Linked DNA regions of Callithrix jacchus. The protein of the gene in region 1 interacts with the protein of each later gene in a pairwise test. Links are inferred from orthologs where the notes say so. Each region holds a gene or a part of one and is shown in the gene's direction. Other genes may lie near its edges.

What was found.
Region 2: the proteins of PRAM1 (region 1) and SKAP1 interact in binary tests that used the Homo sapiens proteins (3 or more experiments, as listed by UniProt). The two-hybrid records come from large-scale screens. The link is inferred for Callithrix jacchus from reciprocal best matches to the Homo sapiens genes PRAM1 and SKAP1.

Annotation. Positions count from the first base shown.
Region 1 is NC_133523.1:8,020,823-8,031,495, reverse strand, and holds the start of PRAM1 (PML-RARA-regulated adapter molecule 1), read left to right. Parts: upstream 1-4,894; coding exon 4,895-5,482; intron 5,483-10,673. Other genes in the region: ZNF414 (zinc finger protein 414), read left to right, coding at 146-458, 775-882, 994-1,099, 1,521-1,864, 1,943-1,993, 2,446-2,622, 2,708-2,781. UniProt on the Homo sapiens protein: May be involved in myeloid differentiation. May be involved in integrin signaling in neutrophils. Binds to PtdIns(4)P.
Region 2 is NC_133506.1:118,102,445-118,113,017, forward strand, and holds part of SKAP1 (src kinase-associated phosphoprotein 1), read left to right. Parts: intron 1-422; coding exon 423-547; intron 548-2,902; coding exon 2,903-2,966; intron 2,967-5,112; coding exon 5,113-5,307; intron 5,308-10,573. UniProt on the Homo sapiens protein: Positively regulates T-cell receptor signaling by enhancing the MAP kinase pathway. Required for optimal conjugation between T-cells and antigen-presenting cells by promoting the clustering of integrin ITGAL on the surface of T-cells.

The DNA of each region.
Region 1 (10,673 bases):
GCTGAGGCAATATGGCGAGATCCCATCTTTATAAAAAGTAGTCCACCCTTACTTATACCCCTGTCTTCTTCTGCTGGTGATTCCTTAGGATGGGGCCAACTGGGTGGACCCAGATCCGAGAAGGGTTCTCTCTCCTTTCCACCAGGAGGAGAAACCTTCAGGGCCCAGCCCGGACATGCAGGCTACTGCAGAGCCCAGCTCCAGTGAGACCGACAAGGAGGTGTTGTCCCCGGCTGTGCCAGCTGCAGCCACCTCCTCCTCCATGGTGGAGGAGCCAGGCCCTGAGCAGGCAGCCACACCACTAGTGTGGGAACGTGGAGGGCCTGGAGGGACTCAGCAGGGCTCCTCCCCAGCAACAGACAGCTGCCAGCCTGGGCCGGGACCCAGCCCGGGCCTGACGAGCATAGTCTCCGGGACCAGCGAGGACCTGCGGCCTCCCAGACGACGCCCACCTTCAGGTGATCTGTGATGGGGCCTTCTGGGGAGTCACAGGCCCTGGAACAATAGAAGGGAAGAGTAGAGAATCTCTAACCCCGGGGGCCTTTATAGAGGAATGCCACTCATCATTTTACTGAGCAGCCAGTGGATGCCAGCCTATGGCTTCAGTGTTGAGCCCGGCCAATCCAGCCCCTGCACTGTGGCAGATCAGTCTCTTGTGGGAGGCAGAGAGTACAGGCCCTAGCATCATATTTGCTTCTCTGGGGCAGAGCCCTGGGGTCAGGGACAGCACTAGTGAGGAAGGGACCAGTGACCCCCGTTCTGTGCGTCCTGCAGGGAAGCAAATCCCCTGCTCCAGCCCTGGCTGCTGCCTCAGTTTCCCCAGCATCCGTGACCTGGCACAGCATCTGCGAACCCACTGCCCGCCCACACAGTCCCTGGAAGGTAGGGCCAGGGCCGGTCATGGGGAGGCAGGTTAGGGTGGGAAACAGGCGGAGCCCTTCGGAGCCAGCCTTGGCCACCTCTCTCCACTCCTCTGTCCTTCATCCCTACCAGGCAAGCTCTTCCGCTGCTCGGCCCTGAGCTGCACCGAGACCTTCCCTAGCATGCAGGAGCTGATGACTCACAGCAAACTGCATTACAAGCCCAATCGCTACTTCAAGTGAGACCCTGACCTCTTGAGCTCCGCCCTGCCCTAGCCTCACCCTGTGTGTGGGTTCCAGGCCTGTCTCCTTTCCTGGTCAGGATGTTGGAGGGCGGGACTTGATGTGGGCAAGGCTTTGGACAAGTCCCGCCCTTGCCTCCCTGGATGGGCGGGGCATACGTGGGCGTGGCTCCACCTAACCCGGCTTTATTTCCCAAGTGGAAAACCGGCCACCTAACTTAAAATTGAGACTTCTTTCTAGGTTTCCCCAGGGTTCCCACCTGAAGTGGTCAGGAAGGGTCGCTGCCACAGTTGTCCGGGAGCTGGGAGGCAACTGGGGCCCAGGCTCCGTTCCCACGCTCGCAGGGCGGGTGGCATGGCACAGGCCCCAATCCCTGGTCGTCCTGGAGGCCCAGCCCGGCCCTCTGCCCGCCCCCAGGTGTGAGAACTGCCTCCTGCGCTTCCGCACGCACCGCTCGCTCTTCAAGCACCTGCATGTTTGCGCAGAGCATGCGCAGAGTCCAGCCCCGCCGCCACCCCCGGCCTTGGACCGGGAGCCACCCGCGCCCGAGCGCCCCCCAGAGGCCGACCCCGCGTCAGCGCCGGGCCTGCAGTTCCCGCTGCTCGAGCCTTTCACGACCCCTGCCCCTGCCCCCTCCGGGCCCTTCCTGCCTTACTTGAACCCTGCGCCCTTTGGCCTAAGCCCCCCGCGCCTGCGGCCCTTCCTGGCCGCGGCGCCCGGGCCGCCGGCTTCTAGCGCCGCCATCTGGAAAAAGAGCCAAGGTGAGTGTGGAGCGGGGCCTCCAGGAGGGCGGGCTGGGCTCGCCCTGACTCTGAACTTGACCCTCCCCTTTACCGCAGGTGCTGGCAGCAGCCCTCGAAGACCCCAGGGCGGCTCCGACGCGCCCTCAGGTGCGTGCAGGTGACCACCAGGGAGGGGTGGAAGGGCTTTCTTTCCTGCGCCCTGCGGGGTGAGGTGGATACCGGGAGGCAGCAGTGCCCATCCCCTTCCCAGGGGTACAGAAATGCCACCGTCCCGAAATACAGGATTTTTGCCTTAAATATGACTGGCACCTGCGCCTTCATCTGCGCCGGCGTTCCCGTGTAAACCTCGTGCCCCGTTCACCGTTCACCTCGAAGCGGGCTTCTCCCCGGCGGTGGATCCGGGAATGGGAATAGGGGACGCGGAGAAGCGAAGTTGGGTTTCCCCAACTCTAGGGGCAGACAGACCCCGGAGAGACGGATCCAGGCGCCTGGAAGCTGATGGGGGCGGGGAAAGGTCCCACCCACCCTTGCCCGTGTCCTCCATCCTTGGCGTACGGGTCCTCTGGGTTGGGGACTGACAGGGTCCCACCTGCCTGCAGGGCACGCGGCCCCGAGCCGCATCGTGTGGGAGCACACGCGCGGCCGCTACTCGTGCATGCAGTGCGCCTTCTCCACGGCCTCGCGGCCCGCCATGACCCTGCACCTGGAGGACCACCGCCCCGGCACCCCCGCGGCCCCCGCGCCCGGGCCGCCACGCCCCGACGCCCCGGCGGCGGGTAAGGCCGAGGAATGCTTGGGTGGAGACGGGGGCAGGGGCCCAAGGCGCTGAGGCTCAGCCTCCCCACTCCTCTGCCCACCCAGATCCAGCCCCACTTGCACCCAAGGTGTCGCCGTTGCTGTCAGAGGGGGAGCTTCCAGTGTTCTCGCAGCTCTGAATCCCAACACTTTGGGGTTGGGCCATGGGGTGTGGGTAGTTTTGTCGTTAGGAGGGGGCTGCAGGGAAGGGGGGTTGAGGTGGACAATAAAGAAGGCACCATGAGCCAGCCTGTGCTGTGTCCCCGTCCCTTACCCCTCCGAAACGCAGTGGGCCACAGCCCAGCAGTCATGGAGAGATCATGTTTCATGAGGACCACCTGGATCCGCAGGTCCAAGCCTCACACCCCACCTGTGTGCTGTCTCCCTATCACCCCAATACTGGGGCCCAGGTCCCCACTTCCAGCTGTAGTTGAGGTCTCCAGGACCCAATGTCCTGTTCTCCCTTGTCCAGAAACCAAACGGGATGGGACTCTCCGGTTTTAAGAAGTCCTGGCTGGGCACACTGGCTCACACCTGTAATCCCAGCACTTTGGGAGGCAGAGGCAGGTGGAGCACCTGAGGTCAGGAATTTGAGACCAACCTGACTAACATGGTGAAACCCCATCTCTACTAAATACAAAGAATTAGCTAGGCATGGTGGCTGGCACCTGTAATCCCAGCTCAGGTGAGCCTCGGATTCCCAAAGTGCTGAGATTACAGGCATGAGCCACCGCACCTGGCTTCCTTGGACTTTCCATCCCCCAACGTGTCCACCTCAGGCTCTGAGTCGAAGCCATCCAGGTACAGAAGCCCAGGGCCACATCACCTCAAAGATGGACAGCTCTGGGCTCTAGAGGCCCTTCAGCTACTTCAAGGGACAGGAGGGGATCCTCAGGCCCTTAGAACCGATCTGTCTGCCCCACTGCCCACAGCCTCACCGGGGACCTGAAGACTGCCCTGTCCTTGATGGGGCTGCAGCCTCAGCTCACATGGCTTGGGTTGGGTGTCCACCCTCCCAGCACCCCTGGGCCCCAGCTGAGGTGGTTGTCACTCAGGATGGGGCGGGACATGCCATTGGGAGGCCCCAGTGCTCCAAGGCCACCTAAGCTCCCCCTTAGTCAGAAGCCTTGAAACTACAACTGTGGGACCCTGGAGAAGACTTGACCCCCCTGCCTTCCAATTCCCTCATCCTTAAGGGTGTCATGATGACGAGTGAGCCCTTTGGTGTGGATAGGAGGATGAAAAGCTGACCTTGGGGAGAGGCTTGGGAAATGTCTGCTGAGTACTTCGCATTCCTCTGGTCACCGAGCCCATGGCTGCCTGGGACCCTCTCTACCTGGGGAGGAGGATAGGACTGAGTCAAGGGCCCCCCCCCCTTTTTTTTTTCTTTTTTAGTAGACCGGATCTCACTCTTGCCCAGGCAGGGCTCACTACAACCTCCACCTTCCTGGTTCAAGCGATTATCCTTAGCCTCCCAAGTAGCTGGGACTACAGGCACCCACCACCACTCCTGGCTAATTTTTGTAAATTTAGTAGAGACGGGGTTTCACCATGTTGGCCAGGCTGGTCTCGAACTCCTGACCTTGCGATTCACCCACCTCGGTCTCCCAAAGTTCTAGGATTACAGGCATGAGCCACCATGCCTGGCCCAAAGGGCCCATTTTACTGGTAGAGAAAGTAAGGCTAGGAGGTTCCTAGCCAGCCCCAGTTCCAAGTCAGAGGCACTGATTCTGCACAATCTTGGGAGAAGGGCACAGTTACCATGGGATGAAAAAACCCTGGCAGCAGGTCCAGAGGACACTCCCCTGTTCCCATGCTCTGAAGTTCCCTAGATCTGGCTGTAGTGCAAGCCCCCTCTCCATCTCCAGGGACAGCACTGTGTTCTCTGTCCCCCAGGCCCCTAACCCCTGTCAGGGGCCTGGGGGCCCCCAGGAGTCTTCATTCCCCATCAATTTCCTCATTCGGCCACCCCCAGAACTAAGCCATGCTACTTCCCAGTCTCTGTCACCATCTGTCCAGAGAGATCCAGAGTCAACAAGCACCTCGGTCCAGGGACCTCTCCTCGACCCCATCACCCACGGAGATTGGGCAGCCCTTCCTGTGTGTACAGCGGGTCCACGGCCACCACTCTGCCCTCTGGGGTAAACTGACTCTGCCCCAAGGCCTGGGAAACTAGGTCACCACCTGGCATCTGCCATTCACCTTGTCCACTCCAGAAACTATCTCCCACCCTCAAGCCGGTCCCCAACCCCTATGCGCTGGAGGCCAGTCCTATTGGGCCCCGGCTCCGCCCAGCAAGGGGCGCCCAGGAGAGCCGGGAGTGCAGCGCCGATCGTGGTCCGGTTGGCAGGAAGCCGCCAGCTGGCGCCAAACAGCTCTGAGGCCGGCCAGAGTCCTGTGCACCGCCCGGCATTTGTCCAGCCCCAGCTGTCACCTGCAGGTGCTAGTCCACTCTCGCTCACCGCGGACCGGGAGCCGGAAGATGGAGCACACCCCGCGGCCCTGGCATCCGCCGCCCACGTGCTCCCATCCGCCACCTTGAGCACCCATGTTCCCATTCCCAACCCCGCAAAGTGCCCGAGCCGCGCCCTAACGAACTCCCACTTCCCCCTGGTCCGCGCTGGCTTCTCCGGGATTCCGGAGCTGTCGGTCCCTGTCTGCAGCCGCGCCGCGAGGACCCTTGCCAGGAGCTCCCACGGAGGCGCCAAATACGCAAGCAAGACTGGGGGGAACTCATACCATGACGACCACGCCGGGACCTGCACGTCACCCCCACAGCGCCCCCGCGGGGTCTTGGTGCGAGCGCCCTGGCTGGACCCTCGTAGCTACCAGAGTGCACGGGTAGCGACCGGCGCAGGCACCTGGGGATTCATCAGCTGTCATCCAATCCTTCAATTACCTTGACTGAGCGTCTACTGTATACTCATAGCCAAGAATTGCTTGTTTTTCTTTTCATTATTATTATTTAAAAAAAAAATTTTTTTTTAAGATGGGGTTTCACCATATTGGTCAGGCTGATCTCGAACTCCTGACCTCAGGTAATCCACCCACCTCAGCCTCCCAAAGTGCTGGGATTACAGGCGTGAGCCACTGCGCCCGGCTTTTTTTTTTTTTTTTTTTTAGACGGTGTCTGGCTGTGTCACTCAGGCTGGAGTGCAATGGTGCAATCTCTGCTCACAGCAACCTCCGCCTCCCCGGTTCAAGCGGTTCTCCTGCTTCCCCCTCCCAAGTAGCTGGGATTACAGGCGCACACCATCACGCCCAGTTAATTTTTGTATTTTTAGTAGAGACGAGGTTTCACCATGTCGGCCAGCTGGTAGCAAACTCGTGACCTCAAGTGATCCGCCCGCCTTGGCCTCCCAAAGTGCTGGGATTACAGGCATGAGCCACCATGTTCCCCCTGGCTGACCTTTCTTGAATTTATTTAACTAAATGAGAAGGACCCAGATGGAGCTGGGAGGGAGACTCATTTGTTTTGAGGACTTTGCTCTTCCGCAGGCCCTTCCTGCATCTGCTCTGCTGCAGTGGGATACATGACACGATGAGAAGTGCTCTGCCCATTTGTTTTCAAGCCTCCGTTAAGAGCACAGGCGTCAGGATTCTGCCAAGATGGCGCCATTGCATTCCATCCTGGTGACAGAGCGAGACTCCATCTCAAAGAAAAAGAAAACGACCAGGCTGGGTGACTGGGTGCAGTGGCTCGTTCCTGTAATTCCAGCACTTTGGGAGGCCAAGGCTGTGGATCACCTGATGTCAGGAGTTCAAGACCAGCCTGACCAATATGGTGAAACCCCATCTCTACTAAAAATACAAAAATTGGCTGGGCGTGGTGGCAGGTGCCTGTAATCCCAGCTACTCAAGAGGTTGAGGCAGAAGAATCGTTTGAACCCGGGAGGTGGAGGTTGCAGTGAGCGAAGATTGCACCACTGCAATCCAGCCTGGGTGACAGAGCAAGACTCTATCAAAAAAGAAGAGAGAAAGAAAGGGAGGGAGAGGAGAGGGGAGGAGAAGAGAGGAGAGGAGGAGAAGAGAAGGAAAGGAAAGAAAGCAAGTTCAACCACTTCGTTTCCGAGTCTTTTTTTTTTTTTTTTTTTTAAGAGACAGGGTCTCATTCTGTTGTCCAAGCTGGAGGGCAGTTGTCACAATCATACACTCACTGCAGCGTTCTAATTCCCAGGCTCAATTGATCCTACTACCTCAGCCTCCCTAGTAGCTGGGACTACAGGCACACACCATCCCACCCAGCTCGTGTGTGTGTGTGTGTGTGTGTGTGTGCTAGAAACAGAAGCTCACTATGTTGCCCAGGCTGGTCTGGAATTCCTGGGCTCAAGCGATCACCCATCTTGGCCTCCCAAAATGCCAGGATTACAGTTGTGAGCCACCTTGCCCAGCCTTCTCTTCATTATTCCTGCTCCAAGTGTGGTCCACAGAAGGACAGCATTGGCATCACCTGGGACCTGACTCATCACTTGGGTCAGAACCTGCACATTAACAGCAGCTCGGAGTGACTCAGGGGAACCGGGGATTCTCACCTTAGCTGTGTATGAGAATCACCAGCCTTTTTTTTTTTTTTTTGAGACGGAGTTTCACTCTTGTTACCCAGGCTGGAGTGCAATGGTGCAATCTCGCCTCACCGCAACCTCCGCCTCCTGGGTTCAGGCAATTCTCCTGCCTCAGCCTCCCTAGTAGCTGGGATTACAGGCACATGCAGCCATGCCTAGCTAAGTTTTTGTATTTTTAGTAGAGACGGGGTTTCACCATGTTGACCAGGATGGTCTCAATCTCTTGACCTCATGATCCACCCGCCTTGGCCTCCCAAAGTGCTGGGATTACAGGCTTGAGCCATCGCGCCCGGCCCGCCTTTTTTTTTTTTTTTTTTTTTTTTTTTTAGATGGAGTCTCTCTGTCACCAGATCGGAGTGCAGTGGCGCGATCTCGGATCACTGCAACCTCTGCCTCCCGGGTTCAGCCGATTCTCCTGCCTCAGCCTCCGGAGTAGCTGGGATTACAGGCACCCAGCATCACGCCTGGCTAAATTCTACATTTTTAGTGGAGACGTGGTTTCACCATGTTGGCCAGGCTGATCTCAACCTTCTGGCCTCAAGGGATCTGCCCACCTCGACCTCCCAAAGTGTTAGGATGACAGGCTTGAGCCACTGCGCCCGGCCTTCCATCTCTTTTCTGATTCTTCCTTAGCTCCAAAATTTCTAGGGTTCGGCTGCATTCACTCCTCTGTAGTCGACAGACACCCACTGGGACAACTCCCAAATTCATCATTCCAGTCCAAACCCTAGGGCCCAGTGCCTTCCCGGCGTCTACCACAAGGGGGCGACACACAACTCCCGCGTTCATCATTCCAGTCCAAACCCTAGGGCCCGGTGCCTTCCCGGCGTCTACCACAAGGGGGCGACACACAACTCCCAAATTCATTCCAGTCCAAACCCCAGGGTCCAGTGCCTTCCCGGTCTCTACCACCAGGGGCACAACTCCCAAATTGACAGAATGTGTGTGATTTGGGGGATGCTGTGCCTGATTTGGGGGATGTAGATCATTGATGTTACCAGCCATCGTCACACCATGTCAGTGTGGGGTAAGCTCAGAGGAAAACTGAGGCTTGAGAAGGACAGTGGCTTCCCTAAAGACACCTGACTAAAGACACAGGTATTGTTTCCAAGGACGTGGTATTGGAACCTGGGTCCATTCAACAGCCAAGAACAGGTTCTTGGTCTTGGCTGGACACGGTGGCTCATGCCTGTAATCCTAGCACTTTGTGAGGCTGATGTGGGTGGATCACTTGAGGTCAGAAGTTCAAGACCAGCCTGGCCAATATCGTGAAAGCCCATCTCTACTAAAAATACAAAATGTTAGCTGGGTGTGTTGGTTCATGCCTGTAATCCCAGCTACCTGGTAGGCCAAGGCATGAGAATCGCTTAATCCTTGGGGGCAGAGGTTTCAGTGAGCCAAGATTGCACCGCTTCACTCCACCTGGGCAAATAGAGTGAGACTCGGGCTCAGAAAAAAAAAAAAAAAAAAAAAAAACAGGTTCCTGCATCTATGTAAACACATAGGAGGCTGGGCTGGTGCTGAGAAGGATTTTTTTGTTTCGGTTTTTGAGACAGGGACTCACTCTGTCCCCCAGGCTGGAGTGCAGTGGCGCGGTCATGGCTCACTGCAGCCTTGACCTCCTGGGCTCAAGTGAGCCTCCTGTCTTGGCCTCCCATGTAGCTGAGATTATAGGCACATGCCACCATGCCTGGCTAATTTTTAAGTATTTCATAGACACAGGGTCTTGCTGTGTTGCCCACGCTGGTCTCTAACTCCTGGGCTCAGGCAATCTTCCTGCCTCGGCCTCCCACAGTGTGGTATTACAGGCTTGAGCCACGATGCCTGTCCAACATTTTGGAAGCTCACTTCGCTGAAGGTCATGCTGGTGGTGGCGTTAAAAGTGATCTGTGGGTGGGACTCTCATACTTGTGTACAGGTGAGAAGGCATTCCTGGGCCTTCTTGGATAGCTGACCTTAGAACTTCCTTTCTTTTTAAGATCAAGTCTCATTCTGTTGCCCAGGCTGGAGTGCAGTGGTGTGATCTCGGCTCACTGCAATCTCTGCCTCCCGGGTTCAAGCGATTCTCCTGCCTCAGCCTCCTGAGTAGCTGGAATTACAGGTGCTCATCACCACACCCAGTTAATCTTTTGTATTTTTAGTAAAGACGGGGTTTTGCCCTGTCGGCCAGGCTGGTCTTGAACTCCCAACCTCAGATGATCCTCCACCTCGGCCTCCCAAAGTGTTAGGATTACAGGCGTGAGCCACCTTACCCAACAGCCAGTTCTGTCTTTCAAAAAAATTGTTCAGGCGATTCCAGCATGTGCTCAAACGGAAAACCAGGGCTCTCTACTCTCTTAGCAAGACTTTTGTCCCTTCGTCTACTGTGACCGAGATCACCCATCTCCTGTGGGCTGAGCCCTGTGGTCATGGCTTGCCCTTACCTGGCCAGGCTGCCGCACCATGACCGACTACACTGACCCTCTCCTGGCCCCTGTCTCTGTCTCCTGGTTCCTCTTCTCTCTGCTACTTCTAATGTAACCTCTGGGAATCTGGGGTATCTTCATGTCCTCAGACCCCCTCAGTCCTTCAAGACTACAAGGCCTCTTTTTTTTTTTTTTTTTTTTTTTGAGATGGAGTTTCACTCTGTCACCCAGCATGGAGTGCAGTGGTGTGATCTTGACTCACTGCAACCTCCACCTCCCAAGTTCAAGCGATTCTCCCCCTCAGCCTCCCAAGTAGCTGGGATCACAGGTGTGCGACATCACACCTGGCTAATTTTTGTATTTTTAGTAGAGACAGTGTTTCACCATGTTGTCCAGGCTGGTCTCGATCTCCTGACCTTAGGTAATCTGCCCTCCTTGGCCTCCCAAAGTGCTGGGATTACAGGTGTGAGACACTGTGCCCAGGCTTTTTTTGTTTTTTTTTAGTGTGGCTCTCGATTGATTGATTGAGATTGAAATAGAGTCTATCTCTGTCACCAGTGCAGTGGTGTGATCATAGCTGACTCCAGCCTCTGCCTTGTGGTCTCAAGCAATCCTCCCGCCTCAGCCTCCCAAGCAGCTGGGACCACAGGTGGGCATCATCACACCTGGCTAATTTTTTATATTTTTTGTAGAGCTGGAGTCTTGCTATGTTGCCCAGGCTGGTCTCAAACTCCCATGCTCAAGTGATTGTCCTGCCTCAGCCTCCCAAAGTGTTGGGATTACAGGTGTGAACCACCATGCCCGGCCTAGATGCACGGCCTTTGACACCATTCACCCATTGAGCCCCTAAGTCTGCCATGCCAGCTGAGCTCTCTGCCCAGGGTGGCAGCCTGAGGCTTCCATGGCCTGTGTGATATCTCCCCCAGAACAAGTGAGTCCTGCTCAAAGCCGAAAGTCGGATTTCAGGAAAGTGTTGAAATAAGGAAAGCGATGGGCCAACCAGGGCAGGGGCAGACAGCAGGAGCCTCACCGGTCACATGGGCCCCCACGTTCTGTGTCTCTGGG
Region 2 (10,573 bases), on another chromosome or scaffold:
ACCTTATAATGCCCCCCTGTGCTGCTGTCCCTCCCCTCAAATGTGAGCTCTGCTGGCCCTGATAATAATGTTTCAGCTCTATAATAGCCTTCAAGAGCCTCACATTTACAGCCACACTCTCCCTGCTGTAATAATTCCTTCTTTCTGTTATTATAGATCTCTTAACATTCTAATAAATTCTCTGTCTCTGTTGTACTCTTTTGGCAAAATAACCTTTCACGTTGCATTTCCTTAGCTTGGCAGAGATATCTGCCTCACTGTCACAGTAGCCTCTTCTTAAGCTTCTCTACCTTTCCTTGACTATTGTGGTTCCTCAGGGATGTAACAGCTGTTTCTGTGCTTTTATTTTACATACCAGAGAAGATGCCTTCCCTTGCCAGTTGCATCTCTCTAGGGATACAGGGAGTTTTTCTGTCTTTCAGGCAAGCAGCCCAAAGGGACCTTCCTCATTAAGGGCTACAGTGTACGGATGGCCCCCCACCTGCGAAGAGATTCCAAGAAAGAATCCTGCTTTGAACTGACCTCCCAGGATAGGCGCAGCTATGAGGTAGGACGCGCCAAGGACATGGTGATCCTCATTGGTGTTGCAGTTTCCTTCTGTATTGCATGTGAGCCATGGTTCCTATGCTGGGTTCCAGCCTTTCTTTGTTACCTGCTCATTTCATACCAACTAAGACCCTCTTTCTTGACATGTCCTCACATTTGCCTTGCCATACCCTCCCTCTGTTGCCACTCTCACCCTAGATACAGACTTTGCTTGGCTTCCATCCTTCATTCCTCCCCTTCTCGATTTCACCTCATAGGTGAGCTGCTTGTCAATTGCAGCACACAAGCCAATTCCTTACTTATAGTCTCTGATTTTATGGTTTAAAATCCCATTCTCTTTGTTTTTCACCTGATTTTCTTCACTTCCTTCCACGAAACCCAGAAAACAGAAGATCTAACTGTAGAGTAAAAAAAAAAATTATTTTCCCATGTTTATCTTGCTATCCCAAATAATCTTCCTGTGTGTGGATGCTTTGCATATCTCTGAAGGATTTCTAAGACATTGGTAACAATAGTAACAATAATAACTGAAGGACTAGAGGACCTGGTTGGGGCAAGAAAGACTTATTCCTTGCTGTGCTCAGTTTGAGTCTTTACCTCATTATAAAGTTAATTGGTTTTATTTTATTTTTGCCGTCTTCATCCTGAACGACCAACAAAATTTTTAAATTTCTGATTGTGTGGAAATATAGTGATTTTTACCAATGTATGTTCGCGTGTGTGTGTGTGTATTGTTTCCTGCTTTTTGGTAATTTTTATCTTATCATGATTTTATTAAAGCAATTTAGAAAAACTTCAGCTTATGAAAAAGAGAAAAATCATGCTAAGAGTAAATTAAACGCTTAAGTAACCCTTTTAGTCTTCATACTTTTCTCAGCATTCTTCTTTTTATTTCTACAGTATCTTAACTCTTATTTTGTTAAAGGACCTAGGTCTTCATTATGCAATTTCCAGAAATCATTTAATATTTGTACTAAAACTTTTCTATAGAGTCCTTTATGAATATATGTAATACAGATGTATGCACTGAATATGTTCCTAGTTATTTTTATTATTACATCCTGATAGTAACATATCTAGATAAAAGTTTATGTAACAAGTCTAAACCAATATTTCTAGAAATGTTTTTATAGAAATGTGTTTTTAAGAAATCAAGAATGACAATGTCTATTAAAAAGTATTATTATGCAGGAATTCAGTCTCTTTGTATGGCATATATCTTTATCTTACCCCAATGGCCAGATAATTAAAATGTTTTTCAGGAACAATTATTTCAAGTTGATTTATTTAAAATAAAAAAATTACTAAGGGCTGATGCTTGACTGGCCTATTTTGTAAATCAGAATGTAGTTTATTTACTTCTTTTCTTTGGCCTGTTAAATTCAAATCATTACCATTGTCTGTGGATTCTTCTTCTACAACATCCTATGGCTCTTCCCCTTCTTATTTATTCCCACAGCCATCACAATAGTTAAGTTCACCCAGAGGACCAGTTGGTCTTCTGTCTCCAGATTTTTGTATTTCAGTCCTTCCTACTCACAGCTATTGAAAGAATCCCCCACTCCCTTTGCTAGATTCCTGGAGTTCAGAGTTAAAATGTAGGCAACTCCTGTTGCCTACAGGAGTTGGCAATGTAGGCTAGTACCTGGAGTTCAGAGTTAAAATGTAGGCAACAGGAGTTGCCTACGTTGCCTACATTTTAACTCTGAACACCAGGTACTCAGAGTCATTTTACAAAGTCTTCTCTGACTCACAGCTCTCCAACTTCACCTGTTATTTTTCTCCAGTCAAGTTGATCTGCCAGCCTTCCCCATAAGTCATTTTATTCCTGTTCTTTTGCAATGGGTCTCCCTACCTGAAATGTCCAACTCTATCCACCAGTTTCCACAAACCCTTCTTTAAAATCCAGCCAAAATGGTATTATTACAGCAAGCCACCCTGACCTAACCTACTCTAGGCAACAATAGGTGTTCTCTGTCTCCTCTCGATATCCAGTTGATACCAAATGTGCCTCCTTTGTAGTGTTCCTATTTCATCTGTGTGGGTTGGTTTGCTTTTTTTCTTGTAAACTTTTCTCAAATAAATGCCTGATAAAGGAATAAATAATTAAATGAAAGAATGCACATGGACATGAATGTCTGGACTCAAAGAGCTGTCATCTCTGGGTATGCAAAACTGCTGAATGAAAAATCAGTTTGAGTGAATTATTTGGTCTTTTTTCTATATGTTAAGCAGACAGAGAATCCTGAACTTTAAACTTGACTCTGAAACTCACAGGCTCCTCCCACTTGGACACTGTAAAGATTCATGGAAACTTTAGTGACAATGATAAATTAATTCACTGATTTTTCTCTAGTTTACAGCTACTAGTCCAGCAGAAGCCAGAGACTGGGTGGATCAAATAAGTTTCTTGTTAAAAGGTAAGTGTCAGTTACAGAAATAATACTTGAGTTGATTTGCAGTTGAAGTTATGTTGCATAAATGTAATCTACAGGCTTATGTATTTGTTCTATCCTTTCTCACATCTGCCTTTCCTACCACATTCCTCATATTATAACAACAAATAGTACTATGTATTAATGAGAAGATAAAGATGACATCAACCTGGAGAAGACCTCTGATATCATAGCTCATCCACCTACCTGCAGGCAAGTCTGTAATATTCAAAACCACTAAAAAAGAAGATTCTAAAAATCAGCTCAGCCCAGTTCAGTGTCTCCTAACCCCTTATATTCTGGAAAGGAAATTCATAGTATCCAACTTAAAGTCATCTAGTTGTAATTGAAGTTCAAAATTACATTTTATTTTATTTTTTTTCTTATTTTAGTCTTAGGATGAAGTAGAAATCTAAACTAATCTAGATAGTCTTCAAGGACATTGTACATTAAAAACAAATTGCTATTTCCCAAGCCACAATAAGATGTTCCTTGCTTTGGGATGGGAGGATACCTGCCTGAAGACGGTAAATGACTGCTCTTAGAGTACCCTCTGCTGGCCAGCCTATAGACAAAGCAGAAACAGTGGCCCAGGAAGCCTTATCTGGGAGTGGCCTGGCAGGTAGAAGAAGCCAACTTTGAGTGTGTCACTTGGTGTTAGATAATCCTCACTTACCATCATGGCAGGACCCTACCTCTGCAGAAAGGCAGAAGCACCAACTTTATACATGGCCCAAGACCTAGAAAGAAACACGTCAGCCTAAAAGCACCAAGCCTTTTCATCTGTTTTTTATTCTGCTGTGAGATTTCATTGTGGATAAAAGAAGGAAGCACCAGAGCTTTAATTACAAAAATTGTCTGTTTTACTCAGTTATGCCTTCGCTATCACAAAAACAAACTATTGCACCTACCAACAGCGTCACGTATAATAGACTGGAACTAGGCAAACATGAACATTGATGGCGAGACTACAGGGTACATTCTCATCTAGGTGCCTTGGATTTATGCGTGTAATATACCCCTAAGTGTGTAAACCTCAATAAAACTCAAAGCAGCTTTATTGAGCTGTACCCTGTGGTACTTTCAGAATCCCACATTGAAGAAATTATTCATTCCATTATATTTTAAAACAAACAAAATAATAACATATGGTTTAAGCCACAAATGTGTTTTTGATCCTTTCCTCATATGTGGTGGCACCAAAATTCAGATGAAAATTGTTGCAAAATCTTTATTAAAAGCCTAATCAAGCCAAACAGTTTTATTACATTTTGAAATGAATGTTGGACGTCTCTCTATCCTTTCCTTCCCCAGAGTACGGTGACTGCACTCACCCATCCTGCAGAGGGCCCTCAGCAGGGTTTCAGAGAGCACTCTGTAGTACACATCAGAGAATGAACATTCCCAGTTCCCCATTAAAATAAAAAACCAATCTCCCTCCCCTGCCCTGGTGCTCCCCAGTGCTTTAATGGCTCAACACCCTCTATACAGTGACCCACTTTAAGGGCAGCTAGACTCTGCAGTTGCAAAAGGACATGGTAACTGCATTGTTCAGCTATTCCATTTGGTCTTGTATTACTGTTATATTTTTCCATACCCTGTTTCTTTTTCTCTTTCACTGTTGACCATTTTTTTCTCTGCAAACAAACATGTCTGAAATTCTGCAGTGAAATCATTGGGGAGATGAGCTTCTGACAGCTCCAACATTCTACAGAATTCCCATGGCCTATGCACCCTGGAGGACTGCAAGCCTTCACTCACCCTTCCAGTTTTCTACTTGATGAGTTGTGTGTAGCACACTGGCTTTTCCTCTTCTGGCCTATTTTCTTCCCTTCACCTCGTGTTCTCATTTACACACCCATACTTTTCAGGGCTGCTTCACCCTGATCAAGTTTTATTGCAAGGAAAGATTTATGCTGATGGTTTAAACCTGATGCAGTGCTAGTCTGGCCTTTTCTGTAGATTTCCTGCCACCAAAGCTCACATTAGAAATAACAGCATTTAACCTGGTGTTTCATTTTCTTTTGACATGTTTTACTCTGATCCCTCTTCCTCCTTCTCCCTCTTCCCTCCCATCTTATTATTTCATTTTTCTCTGTTTCTTGATTCATTCTCATCTTTGCCCTTGCAGATCTGAGCTCCTTAACCATTCCATGTGAAGAGGAGGAGGATGAAGAAGAAAAAGAAGAGACATATGATGATATTGATGGTTTTGACTCCCCAAATTCTGGTTCCCAGTGCAGACCCACTATCTTGCCTGGTAGTGTGGGGATAAAGGAGCCTACAGAGGAGAAAGAAGAAGAAGATATTTATGAAGTCTTGCCAGGTGAGAAATTTTGTGCTCCGATTATCTTCTGCTAGTTTCAGAAATTCATGACCTGATTAAAGAATAATAACTTTGAAAATTCCAAAAGAAGTCAAATCTAACCTTCATCCTCTGAAGGAGATAGTGTGGGAAGCTTTATGAGATTGTAGGGAAAACAATAATGAAGCTCTGCCTTGCTCTAGGAGCAAGAAGAAATTGATTATGGAGTGTCTTCTATCCATGCCATGTGAAGTAACTTAGTACATGTCCACCAGATTAAATAGTCAAGAGCATCTACATTGGTTTTTATTGGTTTACTGTGAGTTTTGGGATGAGTCATCAAAATTCTCAAGTTTCAACTTTTTGGCGTGTAGTTGTGAAAATAATGGAAAATTGCTTCAAAATTATGAAGGATTTCAAAAATCTGAAACATGTTGTAAATGCTGACAAACATTTTTAGTAATACCTTGATAGAGCAAACCTTCATAATAAACCTTGATAGAGAACAACGCATTATTACCTAGTTCAGCTATACCATGAATCAAATCACAACTCTTTTTTTTTTTTCCATGCGTCGTGTCCACATGATCAGCATCACACCTGTGGACAGGATTATCACTACTTTTAAAAAGAAGCCTAACATGTTTTATCTGCTCATCATTACAACATATCTACTCTCTCTATATTTCCTTTTTTCCAAAGGCATGAAAACTATCATCTTAAAAACTATATAGTCATCACTGCTTCTGCATAGCCACTTCTAGTGGGGATAACAACAGCTGGTGAACAGTGCAGAGCTCAGTGGGGGTCAGATGGAGGAGAACCAAAGCCTGAGCTTTTAATTGTGAGGTAGTTAGACCACAGAACGCTAATCTTCAAGTCCATTCAGAAAGATGGTTCCTATGGAAATTTGCCAGGAGTTCAGTGCTCTGCTGAGAAATTCAAGTTAAGCTTAAATTTATAGCAATTTAAGCCTCAATCCCAGATGAACCTAGGAACTAAGGTGAATCTAACACTCAAGCCCCTGAAGATAGGGCTGGTTGCTAAAAGCATCAACAGTAAGCAACTTGCATTTCAAGGCTTCCTAAGAAGAGCATCCAACCCTCTCCACTCTGCATTTATCTCTTCCTGGGGAAGAAGCTACGTCATTGCTTCCTGAGTTAAGGGGCAGGACTTTGGCCACATTTCCCCACCCTGCTGGGGACTTTACCCACCCACCAAGGAGAGCCTGCTTCTTCTCCTAGCACTTCCAGTCTCGACTTCTCCAGCCTTTTTGTTGTGTTTTATTATGCAAATGATATCTTGGTTGAGGTCGAGCCATTTCTTGTGTCTGACGTTAAAAAAAATGATAATTTCCTCAGCAAGTCATCGTCGTTAATGAAGTTTTACAAAAACAGATACAACCAAAGGAAAATAAAATTTCACAGGTGATAAATTTTTCCAATTTCCCTGGCAGAATTCGATAGGATTGTTAAATTAAGAGTGAAGGTGTCTGTTAGAAAGCAACGAGCAGTGATGGGTAATTTTATAGAGTGGAAAATTGAATCAAATTGCTACATTAAAACACAGCTCCTCTGAGAATCTTCCCTTTCACAGTCAGCTCCATTGCAACAGCAGGGTGCAGAAATGGATCTAATTCACAACACTCCCTAAAAGGAGATGCACTCCCCAACTTGGCCAGAATCTTCCTAGTGAGCTCATATTCTGCTCACTCTTGCCCAGGCTTGGGGAAATATCCGGATGACAGTCCACTTTGGGTGACAACTGTGGAAGAGTGCTCTGGGAATGCCTCAGTGAACCTTCTGGGGTAGAAAGAAAGGAAAGAAACATGTACCATGTTTTGTTTTCAAAAGAGCCAGGGAGGAGGGGGCTGATGCTCAGAGATACAGAGCAAAGGAGAATAAAGAGAAAGAGACCTCAAAAAATTAGATGAGTTTGGGACTGTCACCTTATCCCAGGAGTGGGAAGTGAAGGTATGATTGGCTACCTAATGACCGTCTTTCTCTTGCCTCCTAAACTTTTCCCCTTGGCCATTGCAGCACTGCCCAGAGTATTAGGGCATTTTTCCAAAATTCCTACCAGCTGGTATGTTGGAGTCGCTCCAATGGCATGAAGACTGGTCTGAGGGTACACTTACCCTGTATCCACAACAGCTGTCCATTGGAAGTGAGGAAAGCCACACAGTAGGAAATCCAGGGTCTCTTTCTGCAGGTTAAGGAAACAGCAGCTAAGCACCCTTTTAGTTTCCAAAGAACAGCACTGTACCCAGCCAACAGGTTCTTTCCCATAAGCCTCTATCCATCACAGTTCTTAGAGACAGAGTTGGAGGTGGGATATATTGGCATTTAATTATGATATGAATATTTCAGCAACCAGTCACTATCACTCAACTTCCTGTCCACTCCACTCAGCTGTTGCTTCTGAACTTACTGTTTGAATTTTGCATGTGCCACACCATCAGTCCTGGAGAAACTGAGAAGGGAAAGTGAGGGGGCCTAACACTGTCTCCTTTCTGCTGCCCTCTTACAAGACCACCTGCCAACCAGCAGCACATGAGACAGCATAGTATCATAGGTACAGATACTGGCTCTTAAGTCTGGATGGATCTGCCCTGCCACCTGCTAGCTGTGAGACCTTGAGCAAGTTACTTGCCCTCTCTGCCTGTTTGTACTACCTGTAAAATGGGGAAAACAATAGTAGTTGTCTTAGAGGGATGTGGTAAGGAGTCTAGAACTGACATGTGTAAAGTTCTTAGCACAGAGCCCTGACATACAATGGCATACAGTGAGTACTCAGTAAATGCTGGCTATTATTAATGTGATGGTGTTTAAACAAGAAGTGTTATCTCCTTGAAGAACTGGGGTGGTTAGGTCCCCGCCCTCTCAAACCAGACCCAAGACAGTCCAGTTGGATATTTCCAGCTATGTGTATGGAGCAGGTGAAATTGAAAATCCTGAGCAGATGGAATGTGGAGTGCACCTTCTGCCCAGGCCCATTTTTACTGCGAGGCCAGGTGCTGCGTGGAAGGATGGCCTACAGTAACGTTGGATTGTGCTAACACTGCATACCCATCAAGAGTCAAATATGTGGGCCTCTAACATTTGTTTCATTATAACAAGTAAATATGCTTTGTGGAGGATATTTAACATTGACAGTTCTGCTAATCCTCCCTTTTCCCTCACTGTCTCTATGGGGAAAGCCATGTTAGTGAGACCTCCCTTCCAGAGTATAATTTAGACGGGCTTCCTAATAGGGAGAAAAATGTGTGAAACAAATACCAAGTCAATAAAAAATGTTTTCCGTAATCAAAATAATGTATAGGTCATCACATTAAACTCACTCCATCACATTAATCATGGAATAATTAGCATTTGCTACGTGGCTAGCACTCTTCTCCCCATGAGGGAACACCAGAGCACTCAAGGTTTTCAGCCAGACCATGAAAATGTTAGTGCTGGAAAATATGGTTTCAAGGTTGGTATCTGGTGGGATTTCTGAACATCCGTGTTGAGCATATGGGGGCTGATTTTTTTAGGCTCTCATTTGCAATAGATTAAACTGCAGGGAACTACCACAAAGAAATGCTAAAGCAATATGTAGAAAATAGGAGGCCTTTCTGAGCCCTCTCTCACCACCACCACCACTCTCACAGTTATTTTACAGGCCAGCATAGGCCCAGCTTCATGATTCAAGATTCCATAAAAGGACAGCTTTTATCAAATTTTGTCTGGTGTCTCAAGGCTGGGATCCAGCAAGGCGCCTGAGACCATTGAAGTGGTATAACTGGGGCCTTGTAGCAGCTGCAGTGGCAACAGAATCCGGCTGTGTTCTCTAGAGAGATTTCAGAAGAGCAAATGGAAAGAGAGATGAAGAGCTTTCTTTGGGAATTTCTGTGCACATTCCAATGCTGCCCACACTGCCCCAGGGTGTTATTATAGACCTAGAAACCAGATTGCTTTATAATAAAGCATATAACTGAGTTTTTTTAAATTTTGAGTCAAATGGAAACAAGCATTCTGTGGAATTATTTTTCCCCCTGTACGGTTGTTCAGACCCACAGGAAGGGGTAACAGTGAAGGTAAGAAGTCTAAAGAAATTTAAAAAAATGAAGATGAAAAATACAAAGTTTATAAAGAAAGAGCATCAGTGAAGAGTCAACACCATTATCAGGCCTCCTCTGAACTTCTGGCCTTTTATCTTTCTTACTCCCATACCACTGAGCCCCAGCCACACAGTCCTGCTTGGCCAGCGCCAAAACGGGAATCATGTTGTTTCTTCTACGTAGACTACCCTTCTGATCTCAGCCTGTGAAATCGTACACATTCTGGTCAACTGTCTCCCCAGTGACACCTTCCCAGATACTCAACTGGAATTAAGCTTTGTTTTCACCCTCACCACAGTGATTTGTATTCAGGTCTTTCTCCCCAATTAGTAGATGCTTAGGTATTATTTGTGAGATGAAATTCAGTGCATTCCAAGTGTTGCAGTTAGCACAAATTGAGTTTAATATCTTATACATCAAGCCCATATCACTGAAATAGGATGCAAATATTTTGAGGTATCAGTTGAGATTACCAAATACACAACAAAGAATTAAATGTGTTATTAGCATCTCGCTTTTTCCATGTGGTCTGATGAAGTGCGGTAACATCCGTGGATTTATAACATATCTGTGCATGTTGGGGAGCAGTTTATTTTTACTTTTCTGCACGTCCCCTTTGCACCTTGAGTCTGTCTGTATTTCTGTTGCATCTGTCACCAGAGCACCTTGATGTCTGGTTGTACATTGATACAGTTGGCATTTTTTGAAGCTTTTGTCACTTTCTTTGTTTGGGGAAGTAAGTGATTTCCCCTCTTCCTGATTTAGTCATTTTTTTCTAATATTATTCTTTCTGATATCAGTGTAGCCAATGTCAGAAGAGTGTCAGAGCAGTACTTCAGAAAAGAGCCAGGTGCCATGAGAAGCTGCTGGCTCCCCTCTGTCCCTCTGAGGTAGATTCAGTGTCCTGTTCCTCTCAGCCTCTCATTAGTGTCCCTGACATTGTGCCAAGAATGTTGATTGAAATTGACTCTCCGGATACTGATGCTCATTTGTGATGCCCCATGGTTCTCTTACATGTTCGCACAGTTAACAGAATCTTCTTCAACTGTTTTCCCAATTGAGATGAGATATTTGGGGATCAAGTAGAGCATTTAATGTGATAAGTGGACAGTAATCTTCAGAGGTTAATTTGTTTAAAACCTGTGTAAGGTTGGGGTCCCATATGCACCGTTAGGAGCAAGGACC